Astyanax mexicanus: one gene and its partners. The protein of the gene in region 4 interacts with the protein of the main gene of each other region in a pairwise test. Links are inferred from orthologs where the notes say so. Each region holds a gene or a part of one and is shown on either strand. Other genes may lie near its edges.

The links.
Region 1: the proteins of sorbs3 (region 4) and vars2 interact in binary tests that used the Homo sapiens proteins (3 or more experiments, as listed by UniProt). The two-hybrid records come from large-scale screens. The link is inferred for Astyanax mexicanus from reciprocal best matches to the Homo sapiens genes SORBS3 and VARS2.
Region 2: the proteins of sorbs3 (region 4) and tbc1d22b interact in binary tests that used the Homo sapiens proteins (3 or more experiments, as listed by UniProt). The link is inferred for Astyanax mexicanus from reciprocal best matches to the Homo sapiens genes SORBS3 and TBC1D22B.
Region 3: the proteins of sorbs3 (region 4) and cpne2 interact in binary tests that used the Homo sapiens proteins (3 or more experiments, as listed by UniProt). The two-hybrid records come from large-scale screens. The link is inferred for Astyanax mexicanus from reciprocal best matches to the Homo sapiens genes SORBS3 and CPNE2.

Annotation. Positions count from the first base shown.
Region 1 is NC_064410.1:37,645,880-37,653,325, reverse strand, and holds the start of vars2 (valine--tRNA ligase, mitochondrial), read left to right. Parts: upstream 1-4,387; 5' UTR 4,388-4,718; intron 4,719-5,904; 5' UTR 5,905-5,907; coding exon 5,908-6,108; intron 6,109-6,197; coding exon 6,198-6,279; intron 6,280-7,446. Other genes in the region: E3 ubiquitin-protein ligase PPP1R11, read right to left, coding at 92-200, 3,755-3,835. UniProt on the Homo sapiens protein: Catalyzes the attachment of valine to tRNA(Val) in a two-step reaction: valine is first activated by ATP to form Val-AMP and then transferred to the acceptor end of tRNA(Val).
Region 2 is NC_064419.1:2,537,739-2,545,912, reverse strand, and holds the start of tbc1d22b (TBC1 domain family member 22B), read left to right. Parts: upstream 1-5,115; 5' UTR 5,116-5,347; coding exon 5,348-5,403; intron 5,404-8,174. UniProt on the Homo sapiens protein: May act as a GTPase-activating protein for Rab family protein(s).
Region 3 is NC_064416.1:22,613,808-22,621,742, forward strand, and holds the start of cpne2 (copine-2), read left to right. Parts: upstream 1-4,876; 5' UTR 4,877-5,620; intron 5,621-7,935.
Region 4 is NC_064419.1:21,984,114-21,992,276, reverse strand, and holds the start of sorbs3 (vinexin), read right to left. Parts: upstream 3,002-8,163; 5' UTR 2,885-3,001; intron 1-2,884. Other genes in the region: protein neuralized, read right to left, coding at 6,428-6,603, 6,998-7,195, 7,458-7,958. UniProt on the Homo sapiens protein: Vinexin alpha isoform promotes up-regulation of actin stress fiber formation. Vinexin beta isoform plays a role in cell spreading and enhances the activation of JNK/SAPK in response to EGF stimulation by using its third SH3 domain.

The DNA of each region.
Region 1 (7,446 bases), on a different chromosome or scaffold from region 4:
AAAATATTATACTAAATTTGAAGATGAACATTTTAGTAATCCGTCACCGTTACACTGAAGATATAAAACCTGAAAGTGAAACTATACTCACACTTTGAGGACCTCCTTCCCAAGTGCTCGTTGTCCACCGTGTCACTGGACCACTCCACCTTTTTCTCAGTCTTCCTTTTTCGAAGCTTGATGGTCAAACTTCTTCCCTCCTGTGTAACACAGACAATCCATGAAGAAATTCATACATAGACTAGCACTGCACGTTATTGGAAAACACTGAAAGAATGTCTTTTTCTGCTATATATCCTGAGACATTAATAACGCAGAAAGAAATCTAAAGTCACCAGATTTTAATGTTCTAACATTATAATAGTTATATCCACTATGTGTACCTAAAATTAAAGCTAAATAAGTTTAGCATCATGCTATGCAAGTGAAGAAATTTTTTTTTCTGCATACCCCTTTCCTGCAGATTGTTCTATTTCTCCTCTAAGCCTGCATTTCTCAACCCTAGTCCTGTGGGTCCATCTGACCTGGAAAAGCACCAAAATGTGCAACGCAGCGGGCCTTAAGCATTATCTGATCCAACAAGTCATATCAACTGTTGATATAGGTGGATGGTCACACTCTCCCTAGCTTCTCTAAATCTGTAATAATCGTTTGTGTGGAGGTGAAAACAATTTAACATTTCATATCTGAGAAATCTCTGATAAAAAAGTGGATCTAAAAACTTCAGTTATAAAGATGACAAAGTGAGGATTTTGTAACTAAAAATGAGTAGAGCCAAAAAAACTGAAATTAGGATGTGACCTCAAGACTTCATCACCCAGCTTCTAATTCCAGCAACTGACTGAAACGCCCAAGGCACATAGAGATCAAGCCCAGCTGTGTGCTTGCATATGCAAAGCAACGGCTGCAGCCAAAAACTCATATAATAAATTTAAAATTAGAGAAAATAAATTGTATCTTTTGAAAAATCATTTAAATATTGTGATGTATTTTAACTAGGAATGCACAGTGCAAATAAAATATATATATATTTTATATATATATATATATATATATATATATATATATATATATATATGTGTGTGCCCAATATTTCAAACCTATACTTGCTGACATATTTATTGTATTACAGAAATGGACCAAGCGATGCTGGCTGCACTACTACAACTGACAAACACTGGCCAAGCTACTTAAAAATACATAAAATCTATCTAAACTTAAAAAAAAAAAAGAAAAAAAAAAGAAATAAAAAGGTATACCAGAGTGTCTAGTCTCTGTAAGTTATAAGTGCGTATATCGCCATCGACCCAGAATTACCCACATCTGTGCATCCCTAATATTATCCATACAGTCCAGTCCTACCACAATATCAAATCAAATTCTGAAACCCCTAATATTCATTACAGTTTGTTTAAAATGTGGCTTTAAGCATATTTTTAATTCTGTTTTATTGTACTTCCCTACCTTTGAAAACAACTTTATTTCGCTGAAACAGAAAGTAAGCATCACACTGTGCTATTTAAGATGATCTTAGGAAAACAGGGTTTGTTTGCTTAAAATGTTATCAGTCATGCACATCTGAACTTCAAAAAAAAGTACCTTTTTTTGTGATCTACAAAATAAAAATGATTCTAATTCTAGTGCGGACGGCTCAATAGAGCCAAACCATAAATCAAAAAGCAGATACAGCAAAACCCAGCTGTCTACTGAAGGCATTGACTGCATTAGCAAAGAAGAAGAACCACCCACGTAAACAGACCAGGTGTGGGAGGATTTCTTCACAAAGTGACAAATTATGGTAGTGCTGATACAGGCTGACCGCAAATAAGAAACACAAAAAACTAATGTCCTGATCAGAGAAAAAATATTTAAAAATTATAAAAAGGTAGGACACACAGGTGGGGAACAATGAAGGAGAACACTCCAAAACGTAGCTGAGCGAATGTCCTCTACTGCCACATCATTCTTAAAGGCCTTATGAAAATAAGCCTCAAAAACCATGAGTGATTTTTGTGTAGGTTAATATATATTTTAAATGCATTTATTTATAGCTTGTTGTCTCCACAGATTTTATGCAGAGCAGTAGTCCTGCCTGCAAGACACTAATGAAACATTTTAATAAGTAAATGCTGGAATGAAACAGATTTGTGCAAGTTATTTTGTGTACTGGTATCTGCTTGTATATAAACATGGCTTTATTTTGTACTTTAGAAAGGCTGGGTCAGTAAGGCAAGTCAGGCTACTGAAGCAAACTGCTGACAACCAGCAGTGTCTGAATACCTTACTACCTTAATAAAACATCCTCTCCACGATTCTGCCTGACCTAGCAGTCATGGGGATCTATAATCTAGTCGGCACTGCCACTATATTTAGTGAGGCCATGAAATAGAGATCAGAATAAATCAATAAAAGCAGACAGGATTAAGAGAATTGAGATGTAGGCACACTAGACTAGAGTGAGGAGAGTTTGGGATGAATCTGACTGTTGTGTCTAGTGTGGGGTTTACTTTATTACCCCATGAGATTAAGACACTTTGTGTCTAAAATCTGCTTCTTATATTTTGCACTGGAGCTATGAGACTAAAGCCGGGATTAGTTTCTCAGGTGGTCCTGAGGTAATTTTCTCTTATATGGGGGTCCTCTGTGATTTTATTCCTGTCTGGAACAACCATGCAAGATTAGACAAAACATTGAACACACAACACAAAACCTCAGTGAGCAACATAGGCAACAAAAACTCCCTCAGAGCTGGAGGAGAAAGAAACTTTGGGAGGAATCAAAGCTCACATGTACCTTGTGCTATCACATGTGCTATCACGACTAATATATAGGTTGGGGTCCTAGCCTCCTCAAATTAAGGGCTTATGTTAAGAACAGCAAACAGAGACAATGTTTCAGGCTTATTAAGCCATCTAGGTTAGTTAACTAGCTGAACTACCTAGGCCAATCCAGTGGATCATGTCTGCAGGAACATCTTTAGCTATCTAGTTATGCTGATCTTAAATCTAATGATTTTCAAGCGATTTCACTGTCGCAGAGTCTTCCTAGAGGTGAGTTGCGGTCACATCATCTCAATGTTTAGTGTAAGGTTAGGATAGAAAGTTTTTAATTTTATTTTAAAACAAAGACAAATGTATAGCAGCTCACTTTAAAAATGTGAAAACTAGCTAAACATACCACATATCACAGAATTACACTAGGTAGTTATTAATCACAGCATTGAAATGAGTGTGGATTAGTGAAACAGTCTTATGAAGCGAGCTAACATATAACTTTACATATTATAAAACCACAGACAAGCAGCAAGTGTTTTCTTTATGGGGTCTTGCAATTAGATTAGTTAGCTAGCTAGATTAGCTAGCTAGCTAGTTACCTCAGCTATCATAACAACACAGATACTGGAGACTTTGCAGTGCGTTAAGCTAGCTAACCTAACCTATATTAGCTGTTATCTCTATGAGCATTTTTGCTGTATCATTCTGTGCCCCATAAAAGCGAGTCAACTCCTGCACAAGCTGTTTACTTTTGGAAAACTCAATCAATTAAAACATCAGTATTGCTAAACAGCACAATATTTTCAAAATGCAATTTTAAAACACGCTGGACTGCTCCTTTAATCTCCGGTACCCACCCCAGTTTGAAATTATGAAGTTAGGCTATCTATAGTTAAAGGACCAGGACACAGTCTGGTGTTGCCCAAAGCCCCTGAGCCGCAGTGTATAAACGTGCTGGATACGAGAGCGGTGATGATTACCTGCTGAGGCGGCGGAGGAGGCGCGGCCGTCGGCACCGTCTCCGTTATCGTCTCGCTGGACGGACCAGGGACCTCCGCCATGCTTACGGTGGCTCACGAAGCTAGCTTAGCTCCTCCTGTAAAACACACCGACCTCCCACACGCTGTGTACTGGCCGAGCTGTGTTTAGAGTCTAAACACACATAGAAAAAAACAGCAGACACAGAGACCTGGAGCGGCGGGCAGAGGCGCGGCTGTGGGGCGACGCTGCTCCCGGAGCTCAGCACAGGCCGGAGGAAACAATTCACAGACGGACCGACCCTTCCCTCCCTGTGCTCACTATAATATATCCGCCGGTGTTCCGTCGAGTTCTGCTCCCCTGTCAATCCGTGCTGCCCTAGTGTATGTTTAACTGTAAAATTATATTTTTATTACTTTTTTACACGGTTGTAACACTCAAGCAAACGATGACTGTGAGTCAAAAATTTACAATACATCCGGGAAAAAACCTACTGTATCAGGAAAATACTACAGGTGAGTAACCCAGGTCCAGAAAGTAAAATCCATCCCAGGGTTTTGTATCTGCAGCAGAGCCGCCCAGGCAGTTGGTACAAAGCTCTTGGTTGGATTTTTACTTTCTGGACCTGGGTTACCCACCTCTAAAAAAACCCACATGAAAACAGTAATAAATGAGAGTTTTGCGCATGCGCAGAGCCGCTAAGTAGCACAAATCGATGGGTAGCATAACTCGATAGAACACCCGGCCGGGGAGCCACTCCAGTCTGCCGCACTGAACTCAGCCTAAACACATCTAATTCTATATTTTCTGATTCATTATTAGGAGTCTGCGGGGCCGCTCCTGCGTTTCGGTTACATTCTCTCTCATGCAGCTTCCTGCTCTTATTACTGTCAGTGAATTTACGGAACACAGAGCAGCTTCCAACATGTCTGCGCCCTGATACTACATACAGCACACTGACTGAAGGTAACTCTGTCTTTACCTCTGATTCACTCTAATACACACACTCTAAAACACACAGCATCATATCTAAAACATGCCTTTATTATTTATATTCGCACAAGTATTTATTGTTGTTATTTATTTAAGTTTTTGGAAAAATAAATACACAAATAAAAATAATTACTGTGGGATAATTATTTATTTCCATGATTTCTCCCACACTTTTTAATTTGTGTATTTATTATCCAAATTATGTATTTATTGTGTGTATTTATTGTCCAAATGATTCCTTTTCAGATTCTTCACCCACAGTACTTATTAATTTGTGTATTTATTGTCCATAAACTGTAGTTATGCTTTCTACTTATTTGGATCACTACTGGTCAAAATATTTCTAGTTTGCCTTAATTTTCAAAATACAATTATGCAATTCACAGGTCTTACTTCTTTTTATATCTTTAGAAACCATACATATTAGATTTGGGCGATATAATATCACAATATTTTATTAAGTTTATTTTTGCGATAACATTATTCTTAGCTATATGACAAAACAAATTTAAATTTTGTTTGTAAATTCATTTCAATAATATACTACTGCAACAAAATAAATATTTAAAATGTTTTATTTAGTATAAATATAAGCTTTTTATACATTCAGTAGTAACAAAAAAAACTATAAACATTTGTCTAATGTTTCCTAAACAGTAACTTACCAAGACCCTGATTTTGTATAAAATAATAATACTGTAGCAAAAATAAAAAATGATCAAAAATAAAGTAATGTAACAACAAAAATCTACCTCTGAACTAATGTTCAGCATCTTAAAGTGCATACATTGCAAATACACCAGATATATACACAAGCGTATCACAAAATCACGATATGCAGTTTTTTTATTGTGTCAAAATGTTTGGTGATATTATTGTGTGCAATACGATATGGGATTACACTTTAATAGAAAGAAATACTTACCGTAAGATAACAGTCTCTGGCCATGTCTGGTTTAAAGACATTTTTGAATCTTTCATCACCACTGAATTGCATGAAGTGAATGTGTATATATATATATATATATATATATATATATATATATATATATATATATATATTGACCATGACAAAAGCATTTTTAAAGAATGTATCTTATTCTACTTTTTGTCAGCTTGATTGTTTCTAACAAAGCTATGTTCTTTCTTTGCTTATTAGGCAATGTGGAAGCTCACCTGTGGCAGATCCCTGGGGGCAGGTAGTAGAAGTGTTACCAGAGCTCGGAGAACATGGGGGCAAAGGTGCTGCTCTGCAGCAGCTCAGTCTCCACCTTCCTCCTCTTCAAAGCCTTTACATCCACAGAGAACTCAATCAGAAAAGGCAAAAAGGAAAAGAAAGAGAGAAGAAGCCATTCTTCACAGTGTATGTTACTTTCCCTGATAAATAATGTATTTGTATAGTTTAGCCCATATACATGACAGTGATAATATCTACTGTCTGTCTCATTGCAGAATGTGGATAACATTGGTATGAAATGGTCAGAAAAAGAGAAGATAACATACAGTGCTGCTGTCCTGCCTGGCAAGAAGAAAGGTACTGTGTGCTGTCTGTTGAAGTATGAAACATATGAAACATATGAAAAATATGTGTAGTACAAATAATGTCAACATGAAAAGGCATTAATACTATGATACAGTAAAACTATAGTTTACAATTCATAGTTATACATTGCATGTGTCATAAAAAAAAAAATATTTTTCAAAGATTAAAAAAAAAAATATGTGAAGCATAATCTGCTCAATTTAGTGGGTTTATTACAGCCTATTGAATTAAAAAGACCTTTAGGATAAACAAACAATGGAGCAGCCACACATGAATAAGGTTATTATGTCCAGTGCTAAGCACTAATAGAAAAGATAGCTTCAAAATGCAGTATACAGTGTTTAAAGTGTCCTTCCGCTAAAATTCACTTTTTCTTGTTCTTTGTGAAATACAGTAGGTTTCTCTGAGTTGTATAATCATGCTGAATATGAAACTCTTCCTCAGCCTCTATTGTCTGCAGTAGCTAGTAAAAGAAAATATTCAGAAAAACGAGTCAATCAGGAAAAGCACTGTGTCTACATCAAATCGAGAATTAGTATTCATGGCCTCGATCACCTTGGCATGCGACCGCCCACAAGAAGAGCTGATGACAGGCAGGCAGCCGGGCAGCGACACGTCTCGTCAGATAGGAGCTAACAGTTGTAGGAACAGCATGACAGTTCGTTCCTGTATTATTTGTGCAAATAACACATCAGTGTTTTATGCTTTGCCCATGAACAAATTATTAAAATGATTAAAATTTGTCTGTGGAACACCACCAGTGAAGTACAATTGAGATGAGGTAGGTGTATGTTTAGAACAGCTCTGTTTACAATAGTTAAAAGTACAAATCCAACTGCCTGGGTTGCTCTGCTGCGGCTCAGTCAAACAAAACTTTTTTTTTACTTCCTGGACCTGGACCACCCACCTCTGTGTGTGCGTAACTATAGGGTTACATAGGATCTCCGATGGATTTCACATTTTACAGAGACTAAGACTAGGTTGTTGGCTGAACAGGGCATTACATATGTTGCATGTAACATATGACATTACAAAGACTGTTATTAGTGTAAAAATTTCTTTATTTTAAAACGTTTCTATCTGTTGTTCTTCTCACTGCCTCACAGTGCTGTAAGCCAATCAGAGGTGATATGTTTGCATGTATGAATATTTATGAAA
Region 2 (8,174 bases), about 19 Mb from region 4:
TCAGAGGGAACAAATCTGACCCTGTAAAGACCAGTATTGTACCTTTTAGGGTACAATTATGAAGAGAGTACCTTTGAGTACAAAAAAGTACTCATATCGTACCTCTGTTTTTTTTTTTTTTTTAGAGTGAATGTAACCCTATAATCTGTCCATACAGCATTTTCTAGTGGATGAATTAATGCTCTTGACACTGAATGCAATCAAATCCTTACAGCAATCCTCTAAAATCTATTAAAAAGCCTTTTTTCCTGGGTAGTAGGGACAGTTATTCCAGCAAAAGAAGATTATATTTTATGTAAAAACGTTAAAAACTTGAGCCCTGTGTTTTAAAATGTAACTTATTAGCCTTTTAGCAGTGAATCCGTATCACTTAGTTTTTATTTTTCTTTGATTGGATGAAAACATTGAAGCATTGCTCAGAGGCTGTTCTGTTCCCGGACAGATATTTTGGCCATAATATGATATGCTTGTTTTTTTTTTTGCAAAGGAATGAATCTAAGTTTGGTTTGAAGGCAGATTTCCTAGCAACGACACTGTTTGTTTATTTGTGCTGAATAAAAATAGTGAAAACTATTATTTCAGGTAATTTTGGAGAATGCCTATTGGTCCATTTATCAAGAAACACAGTGACACAGTGTAAAGTGGTAGAGAAAAATGCTGATACTTTTTATTATTATTATTATTATTATTATTAGACAGCAACAACATATATGTGTTTTAGTTTGTTCTATGTGTTTATTGTATCATTTTTGGAACAAAAAGCTCCAAAACTAGCTTTTTACATATATGAATAAAGATATTATGCCCATTAAAAAGTTTGGCCACCCCTTATAATATTTTTAATGCTTGTTATGAAGAAAACAGCCATAAAAAGTTTTAACAAAATATTAAACTGGTATTAAAATGGTAATATAGTGGTTATTGTACCGTTCTAACATAAAAAAAAAATAATAATTTTACATTTGAGGAAAGACCCAGCACCCAAATAATACATATACAGTATATACAGCTCTGGAATAATAATAATAATAATAAAATAAGAGAGCCCTTTAAAATGATGAGTTTCTTTGATTTTACCAAAACTAAAACCTCTGGAATATAATAATCAAGAGGAAGATGGATGATCACAAGCCATCAAACCACCAAACTGAACTGCTTGAATGTTTTTGTGCACCAGGAGTAAAGCAGCATAAAGTTATCCAAAAGCAGTGTGTAAGACTGGTGGAGGAGAACATGATGCTAAGATGCATGAAAAAGAACTATTTGAGGTCTTTTTTTCAGCCATTTCTCATTTTCTGCTCATAAATAAACGCTCTAAATGATAATATTATAATATTTTTAATCGGAAATTTGGGAGAAATGTCTGTAGTTTAGCATTTTTTAATAAAACATATACTTATAATTTAGAAACAGATGCTTTCGCTTTCACGTGTCACTCAAAGCACATCCTGTACTCATTCTGTCTCTCACTCTCTGTTGTTTTGGTAACATTTCCAGCGAAATTCCATAGAAATATGAACTGTCATCATTTCCATAATTCCCATCCATCATTCCTACTCATCCATTCATCAGCTGTTCTCAGTGTTTACTGTTTTTCGTCGTTATTTCTCTGTCCGGGGAGGCTGTTTTTCAGGCCTTCCTGTTCAGGCTTGCTGACAAAAGCGGTAAAAGTTGAGTTTTTGATCCCCCCCTTCCTCCAGGAATGTGTGACACACACACACACACACACACACAGACACATAGAAACACACACACACACACAAAGGCATGCGCACGTTCTGAGCCGAAATGAAAGAGCACAAACACAAACACCATGGGGGAATTAGCAGGAAAAGAGAGAAACATTCCAGGCATGCTTGAGCCTCGTGAAGGACACACACACGGCCTTGTGCCCCTACCTTCCTCCAGGCTCACACACACACACACACACACACACACACACACACACACACACACACACACACACACACACACACACAGATAGACACACCACCCCCAGGCCTGAGCACATGCATCCATTGAGAGATAATCTGGGAGGGGGGGCTCATTAACAGCCGAGGAATCAGAATGCAGAACAGAATGCGCTCTACAGTAGAGGTGGGCGATACCGGGAATTTTAGTATCGATCCGATACCAAGGTAATACAGGGCCAGTATTGCCGATATCGATACCGATACCAATACTAATACTTTTTCATATTTAAGCATTAAAGATCAAAAGGATTCAAAAGACCTAGGACTAAGAATAAAATTTCAGAATAAAAGTCACAGTCACACGCTCTCCTACTGTCAGTAACAGTAACAGTACTGCCTCATCCCTCTGCACTCTTCCCATCAGCGAGGAAGGGGAGAGCTGCATCAGCTTATCAGAGAGAGAGAGAGAGACTGAGAGAGAGAGAGAGAGACTGAGAGAGAGAGAGAGAGAGAGACTGAGAGAGAGAGAGAGTGGCGGATAACAGTAAATGCATTGTGTAAGAGCTGTTCCTGTGAAGAGTGCTTTAGAATAACAATCGTACAGCTAAAGCCCTCTGGGTCAACGCTCTCTCTCTCTCTCTCTCTCTCTCTCTCTCTCTCTCTTTTCTCTCTCTAACAGTCATTAGCTTTATTTCTAGGAAATCCTGCTTCCTGATGTTCCACTACAGTTCACCGGACATGTTTCCCCAACAGCTCTTCACCCTCTGAACGGAATGTTTTTTTCTTCTCTAGTTCTTGCTAATATTGATTTTTATCATGATTTTTTTCAGCACTTATACTTAAACTTAGAGCGTTTTTCTACCGATGTGGAATCTGCACCGTTCTGCACCGAATTCAGCACCCCCGCCAGGAAAAGCACCCTTTCTCGGAGCGTATTTTTAAGTAAAGTTAAAGCGCTTTCATCAAGAAGAGAGGGTGCTTTTCATGGCGGGGGGGCAGATTTCAACACTACTATTCACTACTACTAAAGGGAATGACAACAGGCACACTGATTGGTTTAATTTTTGATAATGATTAATTAAGAGAATTAGTTTATGCCTTTTGCGCATTTTGAGCTGCGCAAGACGTATTTTTGGCACCATCACGATACCAAAGACACCAATGACACACCCTTAATCCAGCTGCGTGATCCGCAATCGATTGGTGCGCCATAGATCGCTAAAATAGGGCCCTTGGCCTTCCTTTCCTGGGGCATTCCTGATGAGTGCCAGTTTCTCCATTCACTTGGGCTTGTTACTCTTCTTAGTTCTTTTGCTGAACATTTTAAAGACATTTTAATTTGCAAACACCTAAACGCTCCGTATCACATGATAAGCATAAGGATACCTAATAAATCTGCCTTGCTTTAAGTCAGCAGATAATTACTCCATTCTTACTGAGATTCTTACTGAGTTACAGCACAGAGAACACAAGCTGGAAAAAAAGGAAAGAGCCTGACCTGCAGGAACAACAGTCTAGTACATCTTTCACACAGGTTTTCTCCAAAGCCTGTGCTGCCATCTAGTGCCTGAATCACTGTTCTACAGAAAAATCTGTTTCTGATCAAAGATTTTCCTTCTGAAAATGATGGTTCGGTTTCTTAGACAGGGATTAAGCCTAGTGTTGGACTGCATAACATTTTAAATACATATTTTTCATTAGAAGGAAAAATATTTATAATATTTAGTTTAGTTAAAAGATAGTGTCATAACACAGATATTTATTACAGAGATATTGACTAAAATTAATTCATGGTTTTTTGAAGATTTAAATTCCATAAAATTCAAAAAAGTATTCAGGCCCCTTTACCCTGAATTCTACCGTCAGAAGTCACTGAATTATTTTTTTATTATATTTGAGTCCAGCTGTCTGTAATTTAGTCTCAGTATAAATATAAACACCTGGGGCCTCATGCACTAAAGGTGCGTATGCACAAAAACATAGCGTACGCCATATTTGTACGCAAGTTTTTTTGTACGTATGTTTCTAATGTGTTTTTGTCATTTGGCGACACTTAGAGGCGATGCATTGAAATTACAACTATTAAGATATCCTTTACACACATTGTAGTAAGCTATTATTAGGTAAAATAAAGTCAATTAATGAGACAGTTTCAACGTTCAACGTGTTTCCACTTAGCCTTGATTATATAAACATGAATAAAATGTTGAGCTGGAGTTGTTGGAGATGGCAGCGTTGGCATTATTGGAAGGTATTGAATTGGAAGGGGTATGAATACTTTTGCAAGCCACTGTATATATAATTAGATCATAATGTTTGAATGATACAGAAAAAAAGGATCTCAGCCACAGGGGGGCAGTAGAACTGCTTTTTATTTGGCTAAACGTTTGATTTCATGATTCTTTATTGATTATTGTGATGTAAACTGCATCTACAGAACAGCTGATCTCCAGATTTACTTTCAGAAGGATATGTGTGAATATCTGTGAACAGTTGGATACAGTGCATGTTGTGCAAATGCTGTAGATAGTACTAATTAAAATATATTTAAATATGATCAAAACTTGAGTTACACCACCCTTGTAAAAAAGTTGTATATTTAAATATAACGAATATAGCGAACCACAATAATGTGTGAAATAATGAAAACAAGTTCATACTCATTTAGTAACAACGATACTAAAGGTTTATCTAAGGAAAAGAATCAATAATTTGGTGGAATAACCCAGATTATTATTTCTCAAAATTCTGACCATCTATCCTTCTCTTGATTACATTCCATAGTTTTTTTTAATTGTATTTATATTTGTAATTTGGGAGAAATGTCATTAGTCATTTTTTTATAGAATAAAACAACAAGGTTAATTTTACTCAAACATAAACCTATAAACAGCAAAATCAGAGAAACTAATAATTATAAAATGGTGGTCTCTTATTTTTTCCAGAGCTGTATCTCAGTAGCACTTAAGTAAAGCATGAAAATAATACTCCAGTAGATACAGATACAGTATTTTATTACTTAAGTACAGTAACTTCTCCTTTAGACAGTGTTTTACGTGCTAACTTGCTTACCTGGCTGTTTACACCTGTTCAGCTCTAGTGCTAGAGCAGATCCACACATGCCCCGCCTCCTATTCTAATCCCGCTCCTTCCATTGGCTGGTCTCTCTGCACCTGTTTGCCACTTCATCCAATCACGCTGGGGAAGCACCGTCCCAAGATGGCGGCGTCCATCGCGAAGTATCATTCTCTTACTTTCTGCTGGTAAATATAGAGATTTAAAGCGCTGTGGAGCGCGGTAAACCGCGGTAAAGCGCTGCGAGAGGCTGTAACAGGCCGCGGGGGAGCGGGGGGAGCCCGGCCGCGGTGTTTATCCGCCGGGGGCTGATGTATTTCTCCGGCTGAGGGTTCAGAGCTCAGCCCGGGTCTCCGGCCATGGCCACCGAAAACAAACTCCAGTTCTGGAGGAGGAACGCTAAGGGTCCCGGCAGGTGAGCGGAGCGGGTTCTTCTGGTGTTCTTTGGGGGTTTATACGGGTTTATTTTTCTTGTTTAAGTCGTTTAGCACCTGTAGCACCTGGGTATTTCAGCTCTGCTTAGAGTTACTGAGCTGCTACTGAACTCAGAGCAGTGCTTATCTCTCTTATCTGTCTGCTGGTTAACTAACCTAACGTACAACTAACCTAATCTAACCTGACCTCAGTTCAGTCTGAAGCTCTGAGTATATCTACAGTAAATCTATATATATTTAAAGATTCATTTTTTAGATTTTACCAAATTGAAAACCTCTGGAATATAATAATCAAGAGGAAGATGAATGATCACAAGCTATCAAACCACCAAACTGAACTGCTTGAATTAATTTTTGCACCAGGAGTAAAGCAGCATAAAGTTATCCAAAAGCAGTGTGTAAGACTGGTGGAGGAGAAGAACATGATGCCAAGATGCATAAAAAAAACTGTGATTAAAAACCACAAGGGTTATTCCACCAAATATTGATTATTTCTGAACTCTTAAAACTTTATGAATATGAACTTGTTGTTTTCTTTGCCTTATTATTTAAAGTCTAAAAGCTCTGCATCTTTTTTTTTGTTATTTCAGCCATTTATCATTTTCTGCAAATAAATGCTCTGAATGACAGTGTTTTTAGTTGGAATTTGTGAGAAATGTTGTTTGTAGTTTATAGAATAAAACAACAATGTTCGTTTTACTGTGGAGAAGTTGCAGGTCGAGCTGGGCAACATATCGATATATGTATATATTTTTTTTGTATTGTGATCCTGTTAAGTACGGATTTACTTACGGAAACCTTTAAGGTGAAATCATGAAAAAAAAAATAATAAAAATGTATGGCCATGACTTCTTATTAGGCTAAACTACACAAGAATCTTATTTAAAACCACTGTTTACAACCCATGCGTAGGGAATTTCCTGGAGTCGCAATTTTAAATTTAAGTCACAATAAGTCAACCGTTGAGCACAAACGAATAATAAAACATTTTGACCAATGTTTATGTAATTTGTTGTTGGTTCCGTGCATTCTAAGATCAACAGTAACCAGATTTAACCAGTTTTTCAGCAACAGCTGGAATTCATGCATTTCCAATGAATTTTGGGATCATTTATATATTATAGGGTTTATTCTAACTAAAATAATGTCCCTAAATAAAATATTTTATTTGAGTTTTATACAGTTTTTTTTTTAAGCTGACATTATATTACTGTGTATGATACAACATGGTACACTCCTATTATTAGTAGTTTTAATATTAAAGCCAACTTTCTCAGACACATACATCAAAAATACTGGCTTTAGAATCTATTTAGTCTGGAAAATCTTCTTGTTTCTATATATTCAAGGTGTTCATATCAGAGTGTCATACTATCAGAGTTACACTGCCGTTTCTGATAAGAGTCAGTCAGAGTGAGTTGGGACTTTGTGAAAAGTTTGCAGGATGTTTTATATTAATGTAAGAACTGATTTTAGTTGTTCCCGTCACTCGGAGGAACGATTGAGTTGATGTAGTTCCGCTGGAGGTGGTGATCGCAGTGACTTGCAGTCAGAAAGTGTGATCTGATGGAAGATTAAACTCTGTGGGTTTTTCTATTGTCTGACTCAGCTTTTCTTAAAGGGGAAGTTCTAACTGCCACACTGATCTACTGACACTTGAGCAGTCAGATGCTTCCTGTGATGGAAGATTTAATAATTCTACATTTTCTGCAGTTTTTAAAGCTATGTTCAATTTTTTTTAGTCATTCTGCCTTTAAATGGCTTCATACTATTTACTACAGGTGCACCAAGGCCTGTGTTGACTTATATAGACATAATATATGGATATGATTTCAGTGTAAATCAGACTGTAGTCTGTGTTTAGAGTGTTAAAACAAGTTACGTGGTAAGAACTGCTAGCTAATACCGCCCTGGTTTACCAAAACACTCAGGGTCCCTCAGTGTAGCGCTACCGGCCGGCGTTTACTAGGCTAATGCTAATGCTAGTGCTCCAGCCTTAGCGCTTTATTCACCCTATATAAACAGTTTTTAGGAGAAAAATCTGTGTAGATTAACATCCAGCGCTCGTTTAATGTGTTTTTTTTTTTTTTAAGAATTACACTTTTGTTTACTTAGTTTAGCTAGTTTACTTAACTTAGTTAACCTACATCCCCACCACTACCACCACCACCACCACCCCTGTTCCTTCCTAGTGTCACATAATGCGCTTTATTTTCTGGTGCGCCTTATGTATTAAAACGGACCAGAAAAAAAAGACGTTAATTGATAGGGAGCCTTATAGTACGAAAAATACAGTATTGTTATTTATTATTTATTTATTTATTTATTTTTATTTTTTTCTTAGTGAGGAGAGCTCATAAGTGTATTATGAGTTGATGATAACTTTGTTCAACAAGGGCATTGTTACATTATTGATGTTTTAGTTATTAAGAATATTTAAACATAATTTAAATATTAAAATCTCAATGACTGAATATATTTTTAATATGTAAAAAAAAAATTCTTGCTCTTTAAAAAGGTGCAACTGCATTCCTATGCTCTTGTTTTTATTTAATCAGTGGAATGAAATGTAAGTGTAAATGTAAATGGCCTTAAAATGACAGTAATGTTGTTTATCGGAATATTTTCTGGAACAATATATCATTATAAAATTTCTGTAACAGGCATATGTGACATAATGAGACAAATGCCAGATAAATGATATTTAAAGCAAAAAAAAGTGTGTTAACAGCCTACAGCACATGTTTTGGTT
Region 3 (7,935 bases), on a different chromosome or scaffold from region 4:
TTTTGTGTTCTCCTGGAACTCTTATTTATTCCTGGATAAAATTGTAATTGTCTGTATGTTTTAGGAAATGTTCTGAATTATTTTTGTAAAGGCTGAAAAAAAGCTAAAAAAGTTAGCTTTGACTTAAACTGAACACACTCAAGAATGCTGGTGGGTGTCACATGTTTGGCACCTGGTCTGAAACTACATTTTCAGCAGTTAATGAACATGCTAATGCACAATCTTTGCTCTGTGCTTAGCTAATGATTTAGTTCTTCTATCTCTGTGGGAAGAATATACCAGCGACTGCCTTTCTTTAATTCCACTTCTTTTTCCACTGCTGGTAGACATCCAGCATTTATATATGTACTTATTCTGTCTTTTAGTTAATATTTTTAGTGTGCATAATTACATGCATAAAAAGAAGCGCACAATTTGTATTATATTGCATCATACCACAGTAGTGTGTCAGTTTTAAAGATACCTCTGAGTATGTGTAATGGCCATTCTAGAGGAGCAGGAAGCAGGTGCAGAGAAAAGTCAAAGAGACAAAAGAAGTCAAAATCACAGTCATGAACTCCACTGTGGAGATTCATATCATTAGTAAAGGCAAAGCCTGGAAACAGTCCAAAAAGAAAATGGCTCAGAATGCTAAAGGTATCATGCAACTTAGAATGTGCAAAGAACGAGTTTTCTAGAGATTTTTAAATACTAAGTCATGGAGACTGAGCGCTGTAGCTGGAGGTTAGGAGGTCAGTGGTAAGAAGTGATGCTAGGCTGAATAGAGGGCTGCCTGATTCTATGTACTGAAATACTGTGAAGTCCTGTAACAGAAAATATGAAGAATATGAAAACATATTACAAAACTTACCAGACTTTAATCAGGTAATTTTAAGACACGATAAAATGATTTGGGCCAACAAAATCTATTTATTGAGTGTTTTATTTTTGATGTATTAACAGGTAAACAGTTCCCATTAGTTACATAGCATAGCATCACATTCCTATATTTTTTGCACTGTAACAAAAACAGAGTAATACATCAGCACATTTGTTTACTCAGTTGGTCACATTAAAAAAATGTCCCCTTGCTAAAAAGACATGTAAGCTCTATTCCATGGAGTTAATATAAATAAAATAACTTTGATAGGCCGTTGTTTTGCATGATTTTTATGAATTGTAATGTGAGCTGGCTGCATGAAACACATTTTTTAATAATGTAATAAAATACTGAGAGACAAAAATTCTGTTCTTTGATTACATTATTTTACATACACTGGTTCTGATTCTCTTTACTTGTACATAATTATATAAACTGGATAACTGATACAAATATAATAATATACAGGTGCTGGTCAACGAATTAGAATAATTTGAAATAGTGCAATCATGAAATTCTTTGAATGCATTTTTTTGTGCAGAAAGCAAATCAGGTGTTCACCGCACCTGTCCTACTCCTTAGACTAATCACAGAACTCGTTACCTGGAAAAAAATTTGCTCAGCTGAGCTTTCCAAAAGGCCCATTTAGGCCATTTAACTGTGACACTGTTGTTTTATTGAATTAGAATAATGGAGAAACCGTTTCATTGAATAAGAATAATTTTTATTATAATTACAATCATCACTTTCTCAGTATTTTGTGGCTGCCCCCTTGGCTTGTATGACTGCTTGAAGTCTCCGCGGCATCGATTTGACCAGCTTGTCGCAAGTTTCCGCACTCACAGCTTCCCAGGCAGTGGCGATGTTCTGCTTCAGTTGGTCCAGCGTAGTAGGCTTTCTGTCGCGAATTTTCCGCTTGACGATGGCCCAAAGGTTTTCAATGACATTGAGGTCAGGCGAGTTGGCCGGCCATGCCAAAACTTCAAGCTGTTTTTTAGTGAACCAATCTTTGGTCGACTTTGCCGCATGAGCCGGTGCAAGATCCTGTTGAAATATGAAGTCTTCTTCGCCGAACTGTTCCTCAACAGTCGGAATCAGGAACGTTTCCAGAACATCTTGATATACGGCAGCATTGACAGTCTTCTTGAGGAAGCAGAGTTTCCCTACACCTCGAGCGGACATGCATCCCCAGACCATAACGCTCTGGGGAAACTTGACGGATCTTTTCACGCACTCGTGGTTGTAGGTTTCGCCACCACGACGCCAGACACGAGGACCTTGGTCACCGAAGGAGATGCAGAAGCGTGATTCGTCACTGAAGACCACTTTCTGCCAGTCTTCAGCAGTCCACTCGCCGTGTTCTTTGGCCCACTTCAGCAGTTTCTCCATTTGTTTCTTGTTCAGCATCGGTTTTACTGCTGGAACGCGAGATTTGAAGCCGAGTTCGCGCAGAAGACGGTAAGTGGTTGATCTGGAGACGTCAGCGCCGGTCTGCTTGTTCCACAAGTCGGTGAGCTCGGAAGTGGACTTGAACCGGTTGCTGACTGCAATCTTTCTCAGCTGCTTGTTGTCGTGAGCAGAAGTTTTTCGGACGCCGGAACAGTTGGTGCGCTTGCTGCAGTTTTTCTTGAGAGCTTTGCAGACGGAAGACTGGCTGATGCCGAGCTGCTCAGCAATTTTAGTTTGGGTCAAGCCTTGTTGGCGAAGGGCTTGAATTTGAGCCACTATTCCGGTTGAGAGGTCGCGCTGCTTACCCATGATTGATTTTACAACTTAGAAATTCTACTCAACCCTGACTTTATACTGCACAGTGAACACTCTTCACAGAAAACAAAAATTCGAGCATTTATTCTAATTCAATGAAACGGTTTCTCCATTATTCTAATTCAATAAAACAACAGTGTCACAGTTAAATGGCCTAAATGGGCCTTTTGGAAAGCTCAGCTGAGCAAATTTTTTTCCAGGTAACGAGTTCTGTGATTAGTCTAACGAGTAGGACAGGTGCAGTGAACACCTGATTTGCTTTCTGCACAAAAAATGCATTCAAAGAATTTCATGATTGCACTATTTCAAATTATTCTAATTCGTTGACCAGCACCTGTATTTAACGAATATCACTTTTTTCAGGGTAGTGATGCTGGTCCACCATCATGGATGAGCTGGCCAACCAACATGCTGGTCATACTGGTGGTCTAGCTTGGTCAGGTTGTCCATGCTTGTAGACCACCTAAACCATCAAACTAAAATTAAAACGCTACTATTCTGGTGAAGAACTAAATTTGGTCAACATGAGGTGATCAGGCTATTTTTTTGGCTGGGTAGTATTCAGCTATTAACATTTTCAGATATTTTATAGCCTGTGTTTTTAAGAGCCCAAACCCAGTTCTTAATATTGATTGAAAATCTTAAAGTAATTCTTCAAATTAATATGTTAATATTTTAAGTTAAACTCTTGATGTAACAACAATGGTTAAACATAAGTACAACAATTTCATACCTTCTAGTTTACCATTTTGTTTTATATATAGTAGTTATGTGGATTGTAAAACATTAAATTGAAGATTTTGGGAAAATGCTTAAAACAGAGCTGTTGAGGCTAAAATACACTTTTAAATAGATGAAGTGTGATCTGAAGCATTAACACAGCACATCTACATTCTAGAAATAATAATGTTCAGTGTGTGCTACTTAGGGGCTTCATGAGTTTGAGTTGATATATTTATATATATATATATATATATATATATATATATATATATATATATATATATATATATATATATATATATATATATATATATAAATTTCAAGGTTTCTTCCCATTTTCACCCCAATTAACCCGGCCAGTTATCCAACTCACTCATTAGGACTTCCCCTATCACTAGTGATACACCAACAGGGGCTTCATGAGTTTAAATGAAGGACAGTGCGCTTTAGGGAACTTCACACAGACTTTTAAAAGGTCTGTGGCTATTTTGGGTTGAGTGAAAATTGCATGTACACACCATATACAGTATAATACAGTGGTAAACACACATAACACGTGTACAGATTCTTTACAGCAGCTGATTGTCCAGTAATGAATAATTGCCCGCAAGGTGGCAGCAGAGGCGCGTGAGAACGTGTACTGTACATTTATTTATATTTTTAAAATTACGTCTTTTTAGTTTTACATTATTGTGTTGAATAATTGTATCGATACGTTGTTGTTTGTTGTCCTTCTGTGCGTCAAAGTAATTATTAAATCATAGACTTGAGTGTTGATATTAATTAGAATGAGGTGAAACCTGTTGTTGAATTCTGAGGTCTGACTTTACTAATCGAGTTAATAACGATACAATTGTAGCGTCATACTAGCTGACCTTACCTGTAGCGGTCATGTTTACTAGGTTAGTTAACTCTAAGTAGCTAATGTTTACTTTTATAGAGGAGCATTGTTCACCTGCAGTGAATAATTGTGTTGGTGAACAACAGGTGGTTTCAACACCATGTATTTTATCTTGGTTGTTCTTTTCTCTTTAACCAAACGCGTACACACCATAAAAAACAGGTTCTTTAGTGATAAATCTGCAGATGGTCCACTCCGCTCTGGTCTAGTGTGACCGGGGGCTGTGTCTGCCTGCCTGGGCTCAGCTTCGGCAGCAGTGATGTGTTGTGTCGAGTTGTGCTACCCATCAAAATGTGCTTCTTAATACCAGTGCGCATGCCCACATTTATTTTATAGTTCCATGTGTTTTGTGGTAGTTCTACTAAATTTTACCTGGGTGCATATTTAACATCCTTAACCCCTCCTCTGTCATTATGTCATTATTAGATTTTATCTAAGTGTAAATGGCATTAATAATAATAATAATAATAATAATAATAATAATAATAATAATAATAATAATAATCGAGCAAAAATTACAAGATATAATCTCGCCTATTCCCTTTTAACTGTATTCTGATTTTTGATTCAGGGTTATTAAATAAAGTGCTTTTTCAGGATTTTTTTTACAATTAAATATTAAATACACCATACCTGTCAAGTTTTGGATTGATGTTGTGATCAATAGTATTTTCTGCAGTCAGAAGGCGTATGTATAATATTATACATATGTACATAGTATGTATGAGTATGTATCATCATAGTATGATGTTTTTTTTTAGCAGAAATGCCCTTTCTCTGTTTGCATCCATCCATCCGTCATTAGTGACATTCCAGTTGTGAGAGGCACAGGAATGTTTTTTATTTTAATTATAATGTAATACAAGAAATTTACAGGAAATGCTAATACGGGAGGACGGCGGGAAAGAGGGGTTAAATGTGGTAGACCAAAACGGGATACTTAACAAGATATGAAATACACACGGGATAGCACGGTTTGACAGGGCAGCAGAAATCGACAGAACACCGGACGGAGCTGTTAGGAGCCTTGTTAACTAAACTATACTGTGGGGTGGCGTGTGTTTGTGTGTGAGAGAGAGTGTGCTCTGAGTGAGTCTCTGTCAGTGTGTGTGTGAGTGTGTGTAAGCTGCGGGTGGAGACTGCCATGGTTCACAGGGAGCCCGCCCAGCCTCAGCCTCACTGCTGGCTGCTGGAGTGACCCGCCCGCCTGCCAGCAGCAGCAGCAGCAGAGCAACGTGTCACCGCCTCGGTCCGCTCCGGACCCACAGCCCGAACTCACACACAGCGGCTCCGCGGAGAAGCGCTGCTGCGGAACTGACGCTCCAGAAAAAAGTAGCCACGCGAAGAAAAGCCTGAGCCACCGCTTTTGAGAGGTGAGTGGTGGGTTTCTGAAGTAACAGAGAAGACTACAAATCTGTTAAATATAACGTTAATGGGTTCAACAGTTAGTTTACCTAGTATGGCTTCGTTTGTTTATTGTTATTCTTGGTCGTTCCTACTCAAAATAGTCAATGAAAACAGACCAGAAATAGAAAAGTGGTCCTTTCAGTCTGACAAGCTTGTTTTTATAGAAACTGAAAAACAGAAACAAGCCGCTGTTTATTATATTTTAGCTAAGTTACCTAGCTATGTAACATTATCTATCATGCAGTCTTCTCTTAGCTCTTTATTGAATAACTACAGCTCTGGAAAAAATAAAGAGTCCACTTTAGTTTCTGAATCAGTTCCGCTGATTTTGCTTTTTATAGGTATATGTTTAAGTAAAATGAACATTGTTGTTATATTCTATAAACTACACAACTACAGACAACATTTCTCCCAAATTCCAAATAAGAACATTGTCATTTAGAGCATTTATTTGCAGAAAATGAAAAATGGGTGAAATAAAAAAGATGCAGAGCTTTCAGACCTCAGATAATACAAATGCAAGATAATGCAAAAAACAAGTTCATATTTAAAAAAAAATGTAAGAGTTCAGAAATCAATATTTGGTGGAATAACCCTGATAACAGTTTTCAGGCATCTTGGCATGTTCTCCTCCACCAGTCTTGCACACTGCTTTTGGATAACTTCAGATTGGTTGGTGATCACCCATCTTCCTCTTGATTATATTCCAAAGGTTCTTAATCATGATTAGTGGTCTCCTATTTTTTTCCAGAGCTGTAGTTTTGCTCTGAGGCATCAAACTAAATGTCCAATACAATGAGGCAATTAAGTGGTTCATCATAAGTAATAAAAATATGTATATGTGCTAGACTGTGTCAAGAAGTAACCTGTATGTAGCTGTTTATATTCTTAATATATGCTATATTTGTTTTTAGTCATTGCCTTGTGCAGTTAGACCACTTTTGAATAGAATAACCATGATAAAGCAGTGGTTCTCATTACACTATACTTACATAGTGTAAGTAATATAAGTTAGGGCTCTGTAATATTGTACATTTAATCTCATTATTCTTCAAACATATGAGCGATTATGATTTAGATTTTTAGTTCTTACATATCTTTGGTTTTTTAGTTTGTAAACAAACAGCACCATTTAAAGTGATATACAATGTGGTGTTTTCTTTACATTTATTTTAACCATGTTTGTTATCTTTTTTTTCATTATCATTCATGATAAATAGTAAGCAGCCCCCTATTGAACACAGTGCAAACATAACATGCTTGTATTTCAGTTAAAGAAAAGTGTAACATTTGAAAATCACTGCCACATAAAAGCAAATTTCTATGTGAAGATGTACAGTCTCTATTATCTCATTTTTAAAAATAAGAAACAATAATTCAGTGCATTAAATTGATTTGATTTACCTCCTAGTCCTATTCTAGGTACTATACGTTGTTTTTTCCCAAACTCCAACCTCTGCCACACTGACCTATTTATGTCCACTTGCAGCTCTGCCCCTCAGCAGCCTGCTATGCTTTGCTCATGTGGTTTAGTGGTTAGTGGTCTTTTGGGGTCTGTGTGAAGGATGTGCAGCATAAACACAACAATACTGGAGACAAAGAATTGCCTCAAGTGCTAAATAGTCTTTTCCACTTCGAATATTTTCAGCTGTGCATAAGACAGTTCATGCCTTTCGGCTGCTCCATCTTCACAGTTGGACTAAAAATAATCCAAACATCCTAAAGAGGGCTTCAAGTGCAGTGTGCTTTAAAAATCAAGTGGTCCTATTGGTGGGGGTTAAAATAACTGTTATTACAAAGGAGGTGAGAAGGTGTTATTAGCAATGGGGTCTAATAGTCAAATAGTCAAAGGTCCACATGGTGTTTGAATATAATCGATTTGATTTGACCATTTTCAGTTCTACTAGATTGGACTGGCATAAATGAATATATATGTGTATGTGTGCAATGTAGTTGTACACATTGTACAAATTAGCGAAAACGCATCTAAATATTGTCACATAAGGTGACATGTGAGAGACCCTCTTAAAAATTAAGAGATGTAACCTATTGGTGGTACAGTACTGCATATAGATATTGTATTAAACCCAAACTGACTTGTCTTAAATTTAGGAATGCACACAGCACCTGAAATTATTTGTATGAAAATGGCATATCCAAACACTAAAAATGACTTTCAATGTTTGGATGTATTATCGTGAAAAAACAATCAAAGCAATAATGCTTTCTTTAAAAAAGAAAACAAGACAAAAATACATTAAGGCTATTCAATGTATGCAAT
Region 4 (8,163 bases):
ACAGGTACTTTGCACCTGATGGAGGAAGAGCCTTCTCAGGAAAGGTTGGTTACATAACGTGGGTTCTTGTGTAAACGTGGCCTCGCCTAGGAACCTCATCAGCTGAACAAAACAGGCCAAGTCAGCACTGCTGAGGGCCTGGGAACTAGAGCTTCAGTAATAAAAGATGAACTGAAGAATAAACCAATGACAAGATTCAAAAAAGGATTCTATGTTCAAATATTTATACATGTTAAGATGTTTCCGCTCCAGCTAACTAAAAAGTTTGTAGTTAGGGTTTATTTGACTAAACTTCAGTCACAATTATCTACCACAATACTTAAAACAGTGTATCTAAAGACTATCATAGTTTAACATAATTCTAGTCTAGTGAATCTGATCTAAATGCAGCTTAAAAGCAAAATAGATACATTTATGAATGATGTTCAACTTATATAACACCTTTCTAGAGACCCAAGGACGCTTTACAATGAACACGTTTTACACACAAGCACATTTCACATTAATACTCATCCACACACCGGTGAGGAGCGGCAGCCAATAGCGCACAGCGTACTCTCAACCAGAAACGACCATCCACTTGGAGGACAGCATTGGGCACTACAGCCTTTACCCAGGACAGAGTGCCAATCCATATCTGGTCACTGTCATACACATACATTTACATACATACCACACACTTAACACACCAGATCAACTTAGAGTATTCAATTTTCTGGGCAATTTAGAGTATGCAATTTTACCAAATCAATTTAGAGTATAACATTTTTCTGGGCAATTTAGAGTATCTAATTTACCTGTTGGAGGAAAACGGAGTCCCCGGAAGAAACCCACGCAGACACGGGGAGAACATGGAAACTCCACCCAGATAGGGTCTTGAACCCAAGACCCCAGTGCTGGGAGGCGAACGTGCTAACCACTAAGCCACCATGCCGCCAAATTTATTGCTACATTAAGCATTTAAAGATTAAAATTTTCACTTATGCAACAGAAACTGACCAGTATTGTACCCTTGTGTCTCCATTTTTCCCTTTTTATTCCTTGAAATAATTTAAATCTACAATTCATCATGATAATTGGCCAATAGACCTATTCCAAAATGACTTAGATTAAAATCTTGTAAAGCTGTCTTGTAAAAATGTTGAGCACACTGACCATCCAAGTCATGGGATAATAAGTAAGTAAAATGATCATTAAGCGTTACCTCAGGGGATGGCATGAGAAAGCCCACACCTGTAAAAGTTGTGAGGTTTTATCTTGATCATGAGGCTAAACACTGGTCAGCACGCTCAGAGAGTTCAAGCGAGGACTGACAGTGAGTCCCAGATGGATGGGACATTCCATTTCTGAACATTACCAGCATACGTTGACAGTGAAATGGTTGGTAATGATTGTGATGGCAGCATCTGGCTTAAACTGTCCATACAAACAGACAGACTCTTGCAGAAATTCAATGAGCATATCCCACAGATCAGTGCAGAACTGTAATGATGTGTTTTGAACCACTAAAAAAAGTTTGGGTTTTTGAGATTTGGAAGAAGCAATAAGCAAACAAATTACTTGTTTAAAAAATTCTATATTTTGTGAATATTGTTACAAATTACGGAAACTCAGAGCTGCCAAGCCCTAATATATATTTGGCTCAGTATCATGTAATTACGTGAAAAGTTTTATGTTATAACGTGAAATTTACCATGTTATAATGTGATACTTATCACGTTATTTCATGATATGGAATTATCATGTTATTTCATTATGTGGTATTTTCACGTTATAACAAGAAATTATCACGTTATTTCGTGATATGAAATTATCACGTTATTCCGAGATAAGGAACTATCATGTTATTTCATGATATGCAACTTTCACGTTATTCTGAGATATGCAACTATCACGTTATTTCATGTTAAACATTTATCATGTTATATCATGATATTAGGCCATTCAGCACTTCAACACTTACCAGGTTCAGTGAAGGAACATGGCTCGTCTGCATGACTTAATTCAGTTCTATTTCAAGCTTGGTTTAAGGCATGGTGGAATTCTACAGTTGTTGAGCACTGTAGCTGGAGGCGACGTGAAGTGAAATGGAAGCGCGCTGGCTTGGCCGTGTATCAAAGTAAACCATATTGATGTTTTCACGTTATAACGTTAAAATATCATGAAACAACTTGATAAATGTTTATCACAAAATAACATGATCATTTCATAATTCGAAATAACATGATAATTTCTTATCACGAAATAACATGATAATTTCACAATATAACGTAAAAATACCATATCATGAAATAACATAATAGTTTTGTATCACGAAATAACGTGATAGATATCACGTTATAACGTGATAGATATCACGTTATAACGTAATAAATATCACGTTATAATATGAAACCTTTTACGTTATTACATGTTACTGAGTCAAATTATATTTCTATGGCTGGCAGCTCTACGTTGCCGTAACAAATGACCTTATTAGTCTGAAAGTCTTAACTAGCACATAATTTTTCTTATTATTATGTGAAGAACAAGGGTTTTTTATTCTGGATGTACAAAGACTTTAGAAGATTTTAGTGGCACAGGAAGGCAAGTGATGCATGATGATGTGCGAGAAAAGGTAAAATGACTTTCAAATTAACACTGAGCCAGAAACTGGCCATTCATCCATCAGGACCAAGTTCAAATGGCAACAAATAATTTATTCAAAAACAGAAAACGACTATAAGCTGGAGGCAAAGGCTGGTTAGAGGAAAACAGACCATAATGTCATATTTTGTCAGTGTTTTCCAAAATGTAGGCAGAATATAAATGTAATTATATTTAATAGAAAACAATGGTTTATGATTGGATGACAGCAGCCACCAAAAAGACTCTGTATACTCACAGTGTAGATGACTGAAGTTTGGCTGAATGTCTATGGTGGTTATTCCATTGGGTAATGGGCAGTCCAAACTGTGTCATGTAACTCTCAACACTAGTCTCTCTCTCTCTCTCTCTCTCTCTCTCTCTCTCTCTCTCTCTCTCTCTCTCTCTCTCTCTCTCTCTCTCTCTCTCTGTCACATATACTTGTTTTGATATTTTGCTTTGCTATATTTTGAATCTTGATGGCTTGATGCTCTCTCTCTCTCTCTCTCTCTCTCTCTCTCTCTCTCTCTCTCTCTTTCTCTGTCTCTCTCCATTCGCCATCCAAAATAAATATTTAACAGCTCAGCTGCGTAATCAACTACTAAAGGTCATCTCTCTCTCTCTCTCTCTCTCTCTCTCTCTCTTTCTCTCATCCCCCTTTCTCTAACTCACTCCTCCTAATCACATATATAAAACTGAAGCTTTAGTGTGAATATACAGATTTATTTAATCTTAAAACATTCGTAGTTATCAGTAAGTCCGTTTATTTTACAGTAATAACGTTATAAGGGTTTACCAGTAGTTTACTCCAGTCTCCGGGTGTCAGACTACTTTATTAACTTGGATCTGCTTCCCTCTGCTGTTCAACTTCTGTTCCACTGTTTTCATTCTCCAGCGTCTTCATATCAACACCTTCCTAAAATTTTGCCTTTCAGGAAACACATAAAAACATATAGTTTTTATGACAGTTGTTATGGCTATTTAAAAAATATTTATTGAAAAGACACAAAACAGATAACATTTTAAAATGTAAAAAGGAAAAAAAATAGCCACAACAGTAGAGCATTTCTAGACTCATGGCTACATATATTAGCTTTATAATAATAGCTTTATAGCTCTTTCAGACTCTTTCAATAAAAATCAATAGTAAGAAAAATAAATTTTCTGTTCATGCTGGATGTACAAATATGTTTTGAGAGAGGATATTAGTGTCACAGGAAGGCAGGTGATATATATGATGACTGTGTGAAAAAGGTAAGATGACTTTCAGATGAACACTGAGCCAGAAACTGGTCATTCATTCGTCAGGGCCAAGTTCAAATGGCAACACATCATTTATTTGAAAACAAAAAATAACTAAAGTGAAAAAGTCAATAACACTCAATAATAAGCATAAAAACTATGCATTTTTTTATTAACACGAATTTTCAATTATATAAAAAACCTTTCTCTTACCAATTGAGGATGAGCCCTAACCGTGTACAGCCTGGTTAAGTTAATTCATTAGTTTAATTGCTTAAATAAAACAAAATAGTTGAATTATTATTATATATCAGTTTCTATTATTATTACTATTATTATTATAATACGTTATTACTAAATGTGTCCAAGTATACCTGTCCATCCTGAGAATCTGTAATAGAGAGAAAACCTACTTTAGAATCTCTTTCAGGTTTGTTTGTTTGACCACCAGAGGGCGCGAGGGCGCTCCGGAATTAGTCCAAAATGAATGGCTTCATATGGAGGAATTGCGCAAAATCAGTTTATAAATGAGTTTATAAATGTTTGATATTTTTTTTCAATTTCCTCAACACAGAACAATACCACATGTTTCAGCATGGGACAACTACTTTTTAAGCTTTTAAACTTTAGTTATAAACATTTTAAAGGAGTTCTGACTGTAACTCCAGCATTAGCACAACCAGTTAGCTCAGAGCAGCAGTAACTTCTTTACTGCCTAAAATCTGTTTACTGCAAAAATAAATAAATAAATAAATAAATAAAACTGAAATATATAGGTATTTATTCTTTGAGTTTTTATATTCTACTTTATAAATTAAAGGAATAATTTGGCCAAGCAATTAGGTACTATTTTTCATTTGTGTTTTTAGCCTTTTAGCTTCATTCACATTCATTTTTCTCTTTTCTCAACTGAATCTTTCAAACTTTTCAAAACATGGTACTGGTACATGATACTGGTCAATCTCAGGCAGCTTTACTTAATTTATTACAAGTTTTTTTAAGATGAAGATGGTTACATTTTTCTCAGTCCTGTTACCAAAAATCATGTGACATTTAAAAAGGAAGTCCACTAATTACTTTGATTTTCTCTCAAGAAAGTCTTTATTTTAAAGAAATGGTTGACTGCATGTTCAAATAATTGATATTTGAACATCAATTATTTGATGTTCAAATATCAATTATTTGAAGTGAGTTCCAGTAACAGGTCTCCAGTAACAGCACTCAGTCCTGTTACTGGCACTCACTTCTGTTACTTTTTATGTTTTGAGTAACAGGACTGAAAGTAACAGGAATGTGTTTTTAGCATAGACATAGCAAAAACATGAGAAATAGCTAAATGGTGGCTATGCTAATAGCATGAGGACTATGAGGACATTCTAGTGATTTTCCCAAAATGTGTATTTTAAAAATGAACAAATAATAAATAAATGGAAAAAAAAATCTAAAGCATGGATGGGATTTTAATCATTATATTTTTTAGTAAAGTTTATAGTTAGAGAGTGGGGACAGGTAACAAATGCTATTTTTCAGTGTTATTATTATTTTTTTTAATTACGTCTTACTTTTGCAATTAGGTCAATGTACAAGACGCTATTCTTAATAATGAAATTAAATTATTTTGTGTGCACATTTACATGTAATTTTCTAGAGACAAGTAAAACCCATTCATAATTGTGCTTAGAAAAAAACTGTAACGCTTAGTAAAACCAAACAAAATATGCCTCTAAAACATATGTATGTATATGTGAATTGTGTTCTCTTAATACCTAATTTGTCCCAATGTTCTACATTTAGTCAAAAAATAAGATGTTTTGTTCTCTAAACAAACAGAAAGTAAATCAATCTGTAGGCTGTAATATACTATAGGTTGGGAAAGACCGTGACATCATTCTTATTCACAAACCCATCCTGGGCACATCTCATACAGCACGTCAGAACATTTCATAACTTCTCTGATTTCTTCTCTGAATCTGTGATGTATGCATGTCTGATTCTGAACCCGTCAGAGCTTTAGTCACAGTTTCTCTCAAACAGGATTAAACCTGCTGTTACAGACGGGTGACAAACCACTGACACCTAGTGTTAATGTGTGGTAATACTGTAAATTATGACAGTACACAGCTTAAAGTTCATTCAGTGCTTTAGTACATTAAAACATAAATATATACAATACACATATATAATAATTACACATTACGTACAAAAAAACAGACAGAAAAAAACATTTACAAGCTTATTTGAAATATAGTAGTGCAGTGCCTTAGTACGTTTTAACATTCTTTTTTTCCTTTTTTGTAGTGGTTTCTCCTGCAAAGGTTTAAAAGTGCATTAAGCAGAGAACTATAGTTCTGAAATACAGAGTTTTATGTGCAATCATGAACAAACCCTCATATGTCCAATACAGCAACTTTACAGCAGAAACATTAACTTTTCCTAATTTACACTGAAAGTCAATGTAGAAAAAAGTTTTATTGAAACATAATCTGGACTATTTGCTCTGGTCAATATAAAAGACCATTTATGATACATTCAATCTGTCCTCCATTTCCCTCACTCTCAGCTATGTGCAATCATCAGAGTCGATTGGACGCAAGCGATACCGACACAGAGGACATGTTCCAAACTCGCTGAGGACCCTCCAGGCACAGTGAGAGCACACACACCGATGTCCACAGGTCAGCATCACATCCGCAATGTCTGAGTAACACACGACACATTCCTCCATACTTTCATAACCTGAAGATAAAAAGAGAAAAAAACTGTTAACCTAGAATTACTTTATTAAAACTAATGAAAAACTGGTACTGCTCTAGCCATTCTTAGGTCGCTGCTATGATACCCCATACGAAATATTATTAAAAACACGAAGAACTAATAAAACTGACAGAAGAACTTTAAAACCAACAGACTAACATTACTGCATAGATAATCTCCAAGTTCATTGTTCAGTATTTCAGGTGGTTCTTTGGCATTCAAGTCTTTCTAAGTGAATGCTATGATACTATGAAACTATGTTATGACCAGCCATTAAACTTTAAAAGGTCAAAAGTGTAATGAACTGGTTTACCAACAGGATAACTGAAATATGAAAATTTAACACTATTTTCGATCCAAATGTTTAGGCTCTTACCTGTGCTTTTTCTGTTGCTCTGACAGCAGGAAAGATTGTCATTCTTTCGATTCTCTTGCTCTTCTAGGCTGTTCTGGTTCATCATCCTCTCCAGAATCTCAATGGGCACATTGCTGTAGCCACAGGTCTCCTCTGTAGGTTCGACTGTGGGCACAGGGCACGACCGGCGGGTGCTGAAAAAGCATTTCTTCATTGAACCTTAAAAAAAACAGGACCAAGAAAAACTGTCAGTTGCTGAACACTGAAAATGCATGGGAATCTTTAGAATAATTATTTTTTAAAGACACATTTAAAGACTGGTAGCTATGAAGATTTGTCATTTATCGTTTAGCTCAAATGAATTATCATATCATAACATAGGCATTAACAAACTGCATTAACTTATTGACCAAAATGTAACACATTATTATGTGATAAATCCCTAAATCCTTAATTTAATTTAAAACACTTGTAAACTGACCAAGTAACAGGACTGTGTTGGTCTGCCCATAAACGTCAATCATGGCCCAGATCGGCTTGTGTTTGTCCACTCTGGTTTTCATCCTGTGCCTCTGCCCATCGGCTGTCTGGACATGCAGGGATCCACTGGGACCGATCCAGAAAATGACCTCTGATCCTGGCAGGCACTGCTGCTCAGGCACTGGAATGGCCCAGTACCCAGGAAAGTCTGTTAGCTCAGGAATGGCCAGTGAGGGCACGGCTCTGGACCCTGGTGCGACGCTGGTGAAGCCAACCCTGAGAGCGCCGTGCCAGCCCATCACACAGCGCTCAATACGCACGCACACTTTCTCCTGCACCCTCAGCGGTCTGCTGCTGAAGATCAGGCCGTGACGGAAGGACGAGGTGTCTCTGGTTGCACGTCGGCCATCTTCACTGAGGGTCACTAGCTGGCCCTTGGCTTCTGAGTGGAAAGTCATTGGACCCAGGCAGCTGCTTCCACAGCCACAGCTGAGCTGAGAGCCTGAGGGGAAAACACATTAACACCTAGCATTAGCGTCAACATCTAGCATTGGTGTCAACACGTAGAATTAGAATTAAGTCAAGATTTGCATTGGCTATCATTAGAATTACATTAGAACCAATAACCAAAGACATGTTGACTATGTTAATTGAATTAAGATTTTTTTTGTGGCATACAGCTTATTTCATAAGGACTTCCATGGATA